2 linked regions of the Bombyx mori genome follow. Each later gene encodes a partner of the first gene's protein in a complex. Links are inferred from orthologs where the notes say so. Each region holds a gene or a part of one and is shown on either strand. Other genes may lie near its edges.

Region 1 (4,321 bases):
TACAAGACGGCCTCACACCAGTAATTACACAAACTGGTTTCATTTTTATTACACGATGATATTCCTTCATCGTGAAGCATTCATGAACATTTGTTAGGTTAGTACGTAACTATTTCATCAGAAAAATTTGTACATGCCTGCGGGACTCGAACACTGGCATAGTCGCATCACTCAGTGCAGAACAGTGCTTCGCAGAACCTACCGCCGGATCGGAAACGCGACCCGGAAACGACCCGCGACGCGAAAAGATCCGACGAGAAACTCTGTGACTTGTGTCTGTGGGTTAATTTACTCGCCTAGCCCTGCGCCGCAAGCGACAGTTTCGACGAGAATCACTCGATACGAGAGTATTGGAGACACCTTGTTCTTTTAGGCCACGACGACTTCACTCTTGTTACGTTCAAAACCAAACATATTTTTCGATTTAAAACAATGAACGCCTCATTTTTAAGGGTTTTATTAATAGTTAAGGAAAACAAAAAAACAAGTGTCAGTATTTTAGTTTTTATTAGTAATACATTCTGTAAGGCTTATATCATAGTTCTATCTCCTTTTCCGTCCAGTAGATTTCTTATTTGGTGCCCTTTTTCCCTTTCCTGCTTTAGGTTTCTTGGCTGAGAAATTTGTTGCATTGCCTTTACCTTGAGTTTTACGTTTTCCTAAGCCGGGTTTCATATTTTTCTTTTCGTGTGATCTCCTAATGATAATACAAACAATAGAAATCAGCTCATTTACTTCGAAGTAATAAAATAAAAACTTTAAAAAAAAAATTCTGATTATATCATTTTCAAATTTACAATAAAATAAAAATAATTTACTTACTTGACTTCCTCTTCATTTATACTTTTCGCTACAGCTTTATCCATATCAATTTTTGGCCTCTTACTCAGTATATTATCAAGTAGATTCAGGTTGTATTCTTTTTCTGCTGCCGGTGTTGGTATAGGTGCTTTACGTTTCCTCTCCTTGCCTGGGATTAGCTCATGTACACCTTTACCGCGTGCTTCTTTCTCTTTGGGTAATTTATCTTGGAATTTTCCAAGAGAAGCCGTTGATGCTTTTGCTACACTTGCTGCTGTGGATAACTGGAAAATTATGAAAAATAATTGTAGATTTATGCATTCATATATTTATAAAATCATTTAAATTATTATCTTTAAACAATAATGTAATGGATAAGCAAAACAAGATGAATGTAATAGTTTAGCAATAAAATTGCAACAGTTAAAAAGTTGTAGTATATCTAATTCTAACTTAATTACAAACAGCAAATGCTGCTTGGCTGTAAGAAAGATCAGGTATGCTACTTTGAGATCATCTAGAATAGAAAAAGGAAAATTGTCCTTTCATTGAATTAGACATGTATTTATTAAAGTATACTATTATCATTGTATAAGATGTCTAATTTGAAACTGAAAAAGGAAAAATTATAATTCAGTACAATATATATTTTTCTACTTGATCCTACCTGTGTGGCAGAAGCTTTATCTGAAGTGACAGGAAGCCCCACCCTTGGTATTTTAACCTTTTTGGCTCTAGCGAGATTCTTAAGTCTCTGTAATTCATTCTTTGCAACCTTTTCTGATTTTTCACCGGCTTTCTTTTCATACATATCTGTCATAGGATCTAAATTCTGTGGGACTTCTATAAGCCAGTTCTTCTCTTTTTCAGCTGCAGTTTTCTTGAAACTGATGATACAGAATTATATAGTCAATTATAGATATAGTTGATTGCCGACAATAATAAACGGACAATGTGTTTTACAACATCCTGGCTATTGGTTTGACTATAAAATACAGATTTTAAAATGATGATATCAATTTTTAATTTCTGCCTAAAAACTTTTGTAAATAAGGTTTTTATGGTTTGTGTTTATAGTTTTCTAGACAACTTTCATTATTCTACTATTGAAAACTCACCCATATAAAGGAACCCATTTCTGCAGCTGTTCATCCCATTGAAGTTTGTCTTTCTTTTTCTTATTAATACCCTTGGCTTTTGCGAACTCTTGCCATTTAGTTAATGGCTTAGGTACAGGCACTGGCTTGGCTCGGGGTAGGATTGTCGTAGGTTGTGGCAATCGAACTACTATGGCCTCTTCGATTCTTTCAGTGGGAAGCTCCCATACTTTATTCAGTAGTAGCTGAGCATTGTCACGGGTCAATGCAAGTAAATATGAATCTTTGTTTGTCCTAAACAACACATAAAATCAATTTAATTTGATAACAAAACATGTGCTGTTAACTAAATTTATGTTTAATCCTGAAATTAATAGTGACTATGCGTTTGCTAAAATGAGATAAGATGAAGACTTACTTCAGCGTTTTTATGTCCAAATCGTTTGTGTCAGAGGCCAATAGTGAACCTAGGTCGAATTCTAATTCCAAATGTTTTTCGACCGTTATTGGTTTATATTTATCTGCTTTCTTTTGTTCCCTTTCTAATATCTCATTTACAATATCCATTGTTATCAGAACACTTCCTTTTTACACATTAGAATTAACAAGCTTATTTGACTTGAGCTAATATTTTCCTTGCTTTACTTTTGTTGAAAAATAACCTCAAAATGTATTTTTTTTTTACAATTTAATTACATATATTTATGATTTCGTAGTTTTCTGGGCAACCACGTTTTGAACTCTGGCATAGATAATAAATATTTAACACATGTCATCATATTGGTAGCTTATTGTAGTAGATAATCTATGCACGTAGAATAATTATTTTAGAATTTTTATGTACATACATATATATTGAAACGATGGAACTCAAGTTCATTTTTATTTTATAATCTATAAATATTTATGTATTCAGTTCTATTACCGCGCATCACTGTACTGTACAGTAACTAAAAGGTGTAGGGGCTTCGTTCCCTTTGTATCACCAGCGAGTTAATAAATGAAGATTATGGAGCATGTCCAAACAGGAACAGGTATAGTGATATAAAGTATAAACGAAATGTATTATGCATAGCCCTCTACCAAGGTTTAATGATAGATAAGACATAAACATAAACGTTACATAGTAACTTTTTAATAATCTGTAACTCTGCCTCAACACTCGCGTATGACGTCGCACTGTGAAGAAACACCATGATCTGCGCCAGAACTGTGTCCCTCCACACTCACAAAGCTTCACAGCTCAGCCTTGTTCGCGATTATGATCGACGACGACGTGATTTCTGCTGCTGCTGTGTATTCTACATACACTTCACTTTCTTTCTATACAATCTATAGCTCGACTTAAGTGATTCTTTATTTTTCTTTAACTCTGACTCAGTTACAGGTGTATTTAAGATAGCACTTATGCGTGTCCAGGCATCATGAACCTTATTCTCATTTTTGTGGTCTTGATGTTTCGGCTTAGGTTTATGGCAATAAATGAGAGTCAGTTCCAGATCATTATTCCACCATTTATATTAGGATCAATCACCAACGCACGCATAACCACTCTACGATGTCCTGTACGCTACTGCGGTAAGCTGCGAGTGTGGATACATTCACGTTCGCGTGCCGCAAACCCTTTGTCGCGGGCCATAAAACCGACACAGATCGGGGAGCGACGCGCGAACGAGAAGGCGTGAACAACATCTACACTCGTGAATTCGCAGTTGTCGCGTTCGCGCCGCGAGTGTAGAGCCGACTTGACGCAGAGTAGGAAGGAATACCGTACTATAGCCATATTAGCCATGGAGTTAATAAGTTCAACTCTAGCTCTATGATTGTAGCCATAGATTATACACTTAAATTGTAGCGTAACTAGCGTAGCATTATAAACTCTAAAAAAAGAAAAATATCGCTTAACTGACATTTTCAATTAAAATAAATGTTTTAATTATTCTAATGCTCGTAGGATTTGTTAACTTAAGATTAAGTAAGATTAACTTGTTAAATTAAAGATTAAACACTTAATATTTGAGTTTAGTTTATTATTGTGTACAAAAAGCAATAAATACATTACCTAAATAAACTGAATTTCAATGTCAAGAACTAAAACTAACCCAAATGGTGGACATAAACAAATATTTAGAAATGCAACTTGAATTAGCGAAAAAGCAAATTGAGAGGAAAAATAGTCAGAAAGAAGATGTATCAACTAAAAGCAAATCTGCTGCTGATTACATATCGCAAAAACAGGCAAAGACTCTGTCAAAATTTCCCCACAATCAAAAAGTAGATGTAAAAACTACTGTGACATCAGGGACTTCAACTGAAGGACACCTCGATGACATCGATTTTGTACCTTCCGATGAGGAAGACGACAGTATCCATAATTTTCCGCTTACTGCGTGTTCTTCTCGTACCAAACAGAATATAAACCG
Region 2 (4,305 bases), on another chromosome or scaffold:
AAATCGTTTTTGCGGCTGAGATAAGCGGCGTCAGGCTTTTTTAAATCATAGATATCCTTTAGTAGCTTTCTTGTCCTTTCTGACGGGTTGCGGCCTTGAAGGAAGATACTTTGTTTAGGACCTTCAATGGGCTTAGGTTCTTTCGATAGTAGAACCTTTTTTCCTTTACGAGTTGTAGGTTTCCTAAAAAAAATTTACTACTGTAAAATGATGCAAGTTATTGTGAAGAATAAGTAATGTTCATGCTAGTGTTGAAGAAAAGTACTTTATTCTTTGTAGCACAGGCAGTTTGTTTACATGAAATTAGGAGTGGGCGATATAAATCGTATCTAGATTCAATATCTATATATCGCAGCAATATCGTTGAATCCGATATCGCCCCGCACGAAATCTATATATCGATATCGGCTGATACACGATATTGCTCGATGTGATGCGCATCGGCATATCGTACCGATTCGTGAATCGAAATCTATATAACGATATCAGCCGATACACGATATTACTCGATGTGATGCGCATCGGCATATCGTACCGATTCGTGAATATCAGCAATATTCGTTTGGTTCGTATCGAATCGGTCAGAGTGAGTGAGCGCACGATAGGGATATCATGTGATGAATGAAACAGAAACAGGCATTATCCATACAATTGTAAACCTTATATTTAAGTCCATATGTCTGTAGATTATTCTTAGCGTATCAGCAGGATACAATTTAGGAAAGAAGTTTCAATTTTCGACCCTAACTTGAATGCAGTATAGCCTATTTGCATCGTTGAATTTAATTTCACGCGCTTTGACCTTGAACTACAATTTTTGGACAAGTGTTTATAAATACTTAAAAGTTTTTTGTGTTTGATTTTTAAAGTACACATTTTTCTATTTTTAGTTGAATCCAAATAACTGAGTTTATTTCTTGTGTTTGTATTAAACTTTTGAAATCTACACTCTTTTGATATATTTTGTAATTTTAAATTAAGATACAAAATACTAAAAACTGAAAAAAATGTAGCCAGTCCTAAGTCTGATAAAAGCATGAAGGAAAGTTTTTTTGATATTTTTATTTTCATGTTCTTTTTATTACTTTAAAATCATATTATAAATTGATATCAGAAAACCAACCGTATAACGTTGACTTAAATCTATATCTACTACGATATTATATCAGCGTATCGTTTCAAATCTCAAATATCATGAATCGAGAAAATCTACTAGCATCCATCAATATATAGATTCAGAAAATATATAGATTCAATATCCGATATTGATACTCGATATATAGATACGATTCGATACGCGGTTAAACCGATATTACCCACTCCTACATGAAATCTCAAAAACACAACGAGATGCACACTTTTTCTTAGTTGTCAACTCAAACACACAATAAAAAAAAACACAGAGTCAATCAAATCACACAATATTAACAATTATCACAATGATCAATATTATATAGACAGTTGTCGAAACTTATCCAAATAAGTATATATTTAAAATTATTTTTTTCTATTATTTGTGGTTTCATTCTATTTTCTTGTTGTATTTAATTGCACTCTAAAAATCAAATTCGATTTTCTACTATTTGATGTCGATTCAGAGATCTTTTTCGATGAAATAATCGATCTTTTGTGGTAAATTCTTATTAACTCCATGGGTAAATTGAACTTAATCGGCATCTCTAATTTCGTTCTTAAGCATAGATGATACACCGTGATACACTTCATAAATTTCATAGACCTATATAGTAATAAATTCACACTTCAATCATTTATTATCTGTGATCACAATTTTCACGTGTTTGAGTTGACAACTAAGAAAAGTGTGCATCTCGTTGTGTTTTTGAGATTTCATGTAAACAAAATGCCTGTGCTACAAAGAATAAAGTACTTTTCTTCAACACTAGCATGAACATTACTTATTCTTCACAATAACTTGCATCATTTTACAGTAGTAAATTTTTTTTAGGAAACCTACAACTCGTAAAGGAAAAAAGGTTCTACTATCGAAAGAACCTAAGCCCATTGAAGGTCCTAAACAAAGTATCTTCCTTCAAGGCCGCAACCCGTCAGAAAGGACAAGAAAGCTACTAAAGGATATCTATGATTTAAAAAAGCCTGACGCCGCTTATCTCAGCCGCAAAAACGATTTTGTCCCATTTGAAGACAGTAGTTTGATTGAGAAGTAAGTTATTTTGCATTTTATACAAGTGAATGTATATTAAACTAAAGTAGCTTAGCTCCCTGTTCTCGTATCTTGCTAGGTAGGATCAGTATTAAAATTTTAACTAAGTTTTTGAACTCTTCAGAGCATACCTACATCGTTGCTTTATACTAGTTATATAGGTTATGGCAGTTATTTCGTTATTTAATAGCATTTATAATAATTTCGATGCACTTTGCTACATTGTCATTTTAAATTTTATCGACATAAAATTTCCTTAGTAAATTATTTATGAATCTCCAAGTTGTTTATTTTTAGAGCTCTTATTTCTATGAATAGCCACATATAAAATGTAATATAGATTGATTTTAAACCAAACATTTTCATTCAAGCATCAGTAATTGAACGGTCGAATGACTACTTGAACGGTCGAAGGTCACTTGAACATCTTATATAAGAACGGTCAATTACTATTCGTTCTGTTTCGTCTTTTTGTATGTCTGTCTTTTCAGAAGTCAAAAAATGTACTGCCTCGCTGCTGGTCACGTACGCCCTCGTTCCATTTATTTTTGAATTATTTTCAAATGTCTGTCTTAGTCTGTCTATGTCTAGTCATTATAGGTTTTATGTCTTGTCAATGAGATTGCACGCCACGACAGTAATAAAAAATTGTTTTAAAAATTGGATTAAAAAGTTCCAATTTAAAGAGTTTACTTAGTGATTTAAACATATATTTGTTAAAATTATTTTCTTAAAATTTGTTCATATGATCCCTATATATAATATTGAAATAATTGCTCTTTAATTAATGTAAAAGAAAGTTTTCAGTCATTGTTATTTGGATTTAAATGGCGATATTCATTAAGTCTGATTCTGAAAAGTTTGGAAATGCTACACTGTAATGACAATCAAAACTACGTACATGTTATATTCTCATTATTCTGATTTTCATTATATTTTTGTACAAACTGTAACATATTCAAAACACCAGATATAATATATTCACAATAAAAAATATGAGATTAAATCATAAAAGTAGTTGTAATAATGTCTACGACTCGTGAAAAGTGAACTAAATATTATAAAAACATAGTAAAAGTAGTCTTATACTTTCGATTGTCTGCTTTATAGGTTATGTTACAAAAAAGAGGCGGCTCTGTTTGGTGTTGGTTCACACAGCAAGAAGCGCCCCCACAACATTGTTTTGGGTAGAACTTTTGATTATGGAATATTGGATATGATTGAACTTGGTACTGAAGAATACAAGGCAATGTCAGAATTTCACAATATAAAAGTCCTGGCTGGTTCTAAACCATGTTTATTGTTTAATGGACCTGCTTGGGAGCTAAACCAGGATTTAACACGATTGAAGTCACTGTTCTCTGATTTCTTTCACAGAGAAAAGGTAAAAAATAATATTGGAAAATTAATAAAATCATTTTTTCATGAATGTCAAATAAAGGAAGGATTTATTACAGTATCAGTAATTGAATTCAAATGTTATGTTGTTAAAATGTTATACCAGTACAGCATATCTTTAAAAATTATAATAATTAAGCAATTATAATACAATTTAATAACTATAAGTGCTTTGTTGGTACTTCATATAATTAATTAGTAATACCAAATTAATTTCCCACCTATCATTAAATTACTATATTTTATTTCTATAGTAATAAAAATTGACAATTAATGTAAAAATAAATGGTATTTATATTTTCATAGGTGGAAACCATTAGATTGCAGGGATTAGAACATGTCCTCAGTTTCACGGCTACTGATGATGGCTTGATCTACTTCAGATCGTACAGAATATCACTTAAGAAAAGTGGCCAGAGAACACCCAGAGTGGAGTTGGAAGAAATAGGTAACAATCGTTGTTGAAATCACAGTTCAAGTGAATAAATATTCACAAGCTTGTCATTTTGCATATTTTGTATGATTGTTGACGGAATCATTTTCTTATCAGCAAACTGAATAAAAAATTTTTTGGCAACTGCAGGTCCGTCAATTGATTTCAAATTAAGAAGAACTAAGTTAGCGTCTGACGATCTCTACAAGGAAGCTTGTAAAATACCGAGAGAGATGAAACCAATCAAAAAGAAAAATATCTCCAGAGATGCATTTGGAACTAAACACGGCCG

Evidence for each region.
Region 2: ribosome biogenesis regulatory protein homolog (region 1) and ribosome production factor 2 homolog share a complex: the UniProt entries of both Homo sapiens proteins name them as parts of the hexameric 5S RNP precursor complex. The link is inferred for Bombyx mori from reciprocal best matches to the Homo sapiens genes RRS1 and RPF2.

What each region holds. Positions count from the first base shown.
Region 1 is NC_085123.1:3,058,863-3,063,183, reverse strand, and holds ribosome biogenesis regulatory protein homolog, read right to left. Parts: upstream 2,870-4,321; 5' UTR 2,466-2,869; coding exon 2,317-2,465; intron 2,193-2,316; coding exon 1,920-2,192; intron 1,689-1,919; coding exon 1,469-1,688; intron 1,086-1,468; coding exon 823-1,085; intron 698-822; coding exon 544-697; 3' UTR 491-543; downstream 1-490. Other genes in the region: DNA excision repair protein ERCC-6, read left to right, coding at 4,005-4,321. UniProt on the Homo sapiens protein: Involved in ribosomal large subunit assembly. May regulate the localization of the 5S RNP/5S ribonucleoprotein particle to the nucleolus.
Region 2 is NC_085129.1:7,278,390-7,282,694, forward strand, and holds the start of ribosome production factor 2 homolog, read left to right. Parts: upstream 1-1,357; 5' UTR 1,358-1,861; coding exon 1,862-1,884; intron 1,885-1,966; coding exon 1,967-2,182; intron 2,183-3,292; coding exon 3,293-3,566; intron 3,567-3,886; coding exon 3,887-4,028; intron 4,029-4,163; coding exon 4,164-4,305. UniProt on the Homo sapiens protein: Involved in ribosomal large subunit assembly. May regulate the localization of the 5S RNP/5S ribonucleoprotein particle to the nucleolus.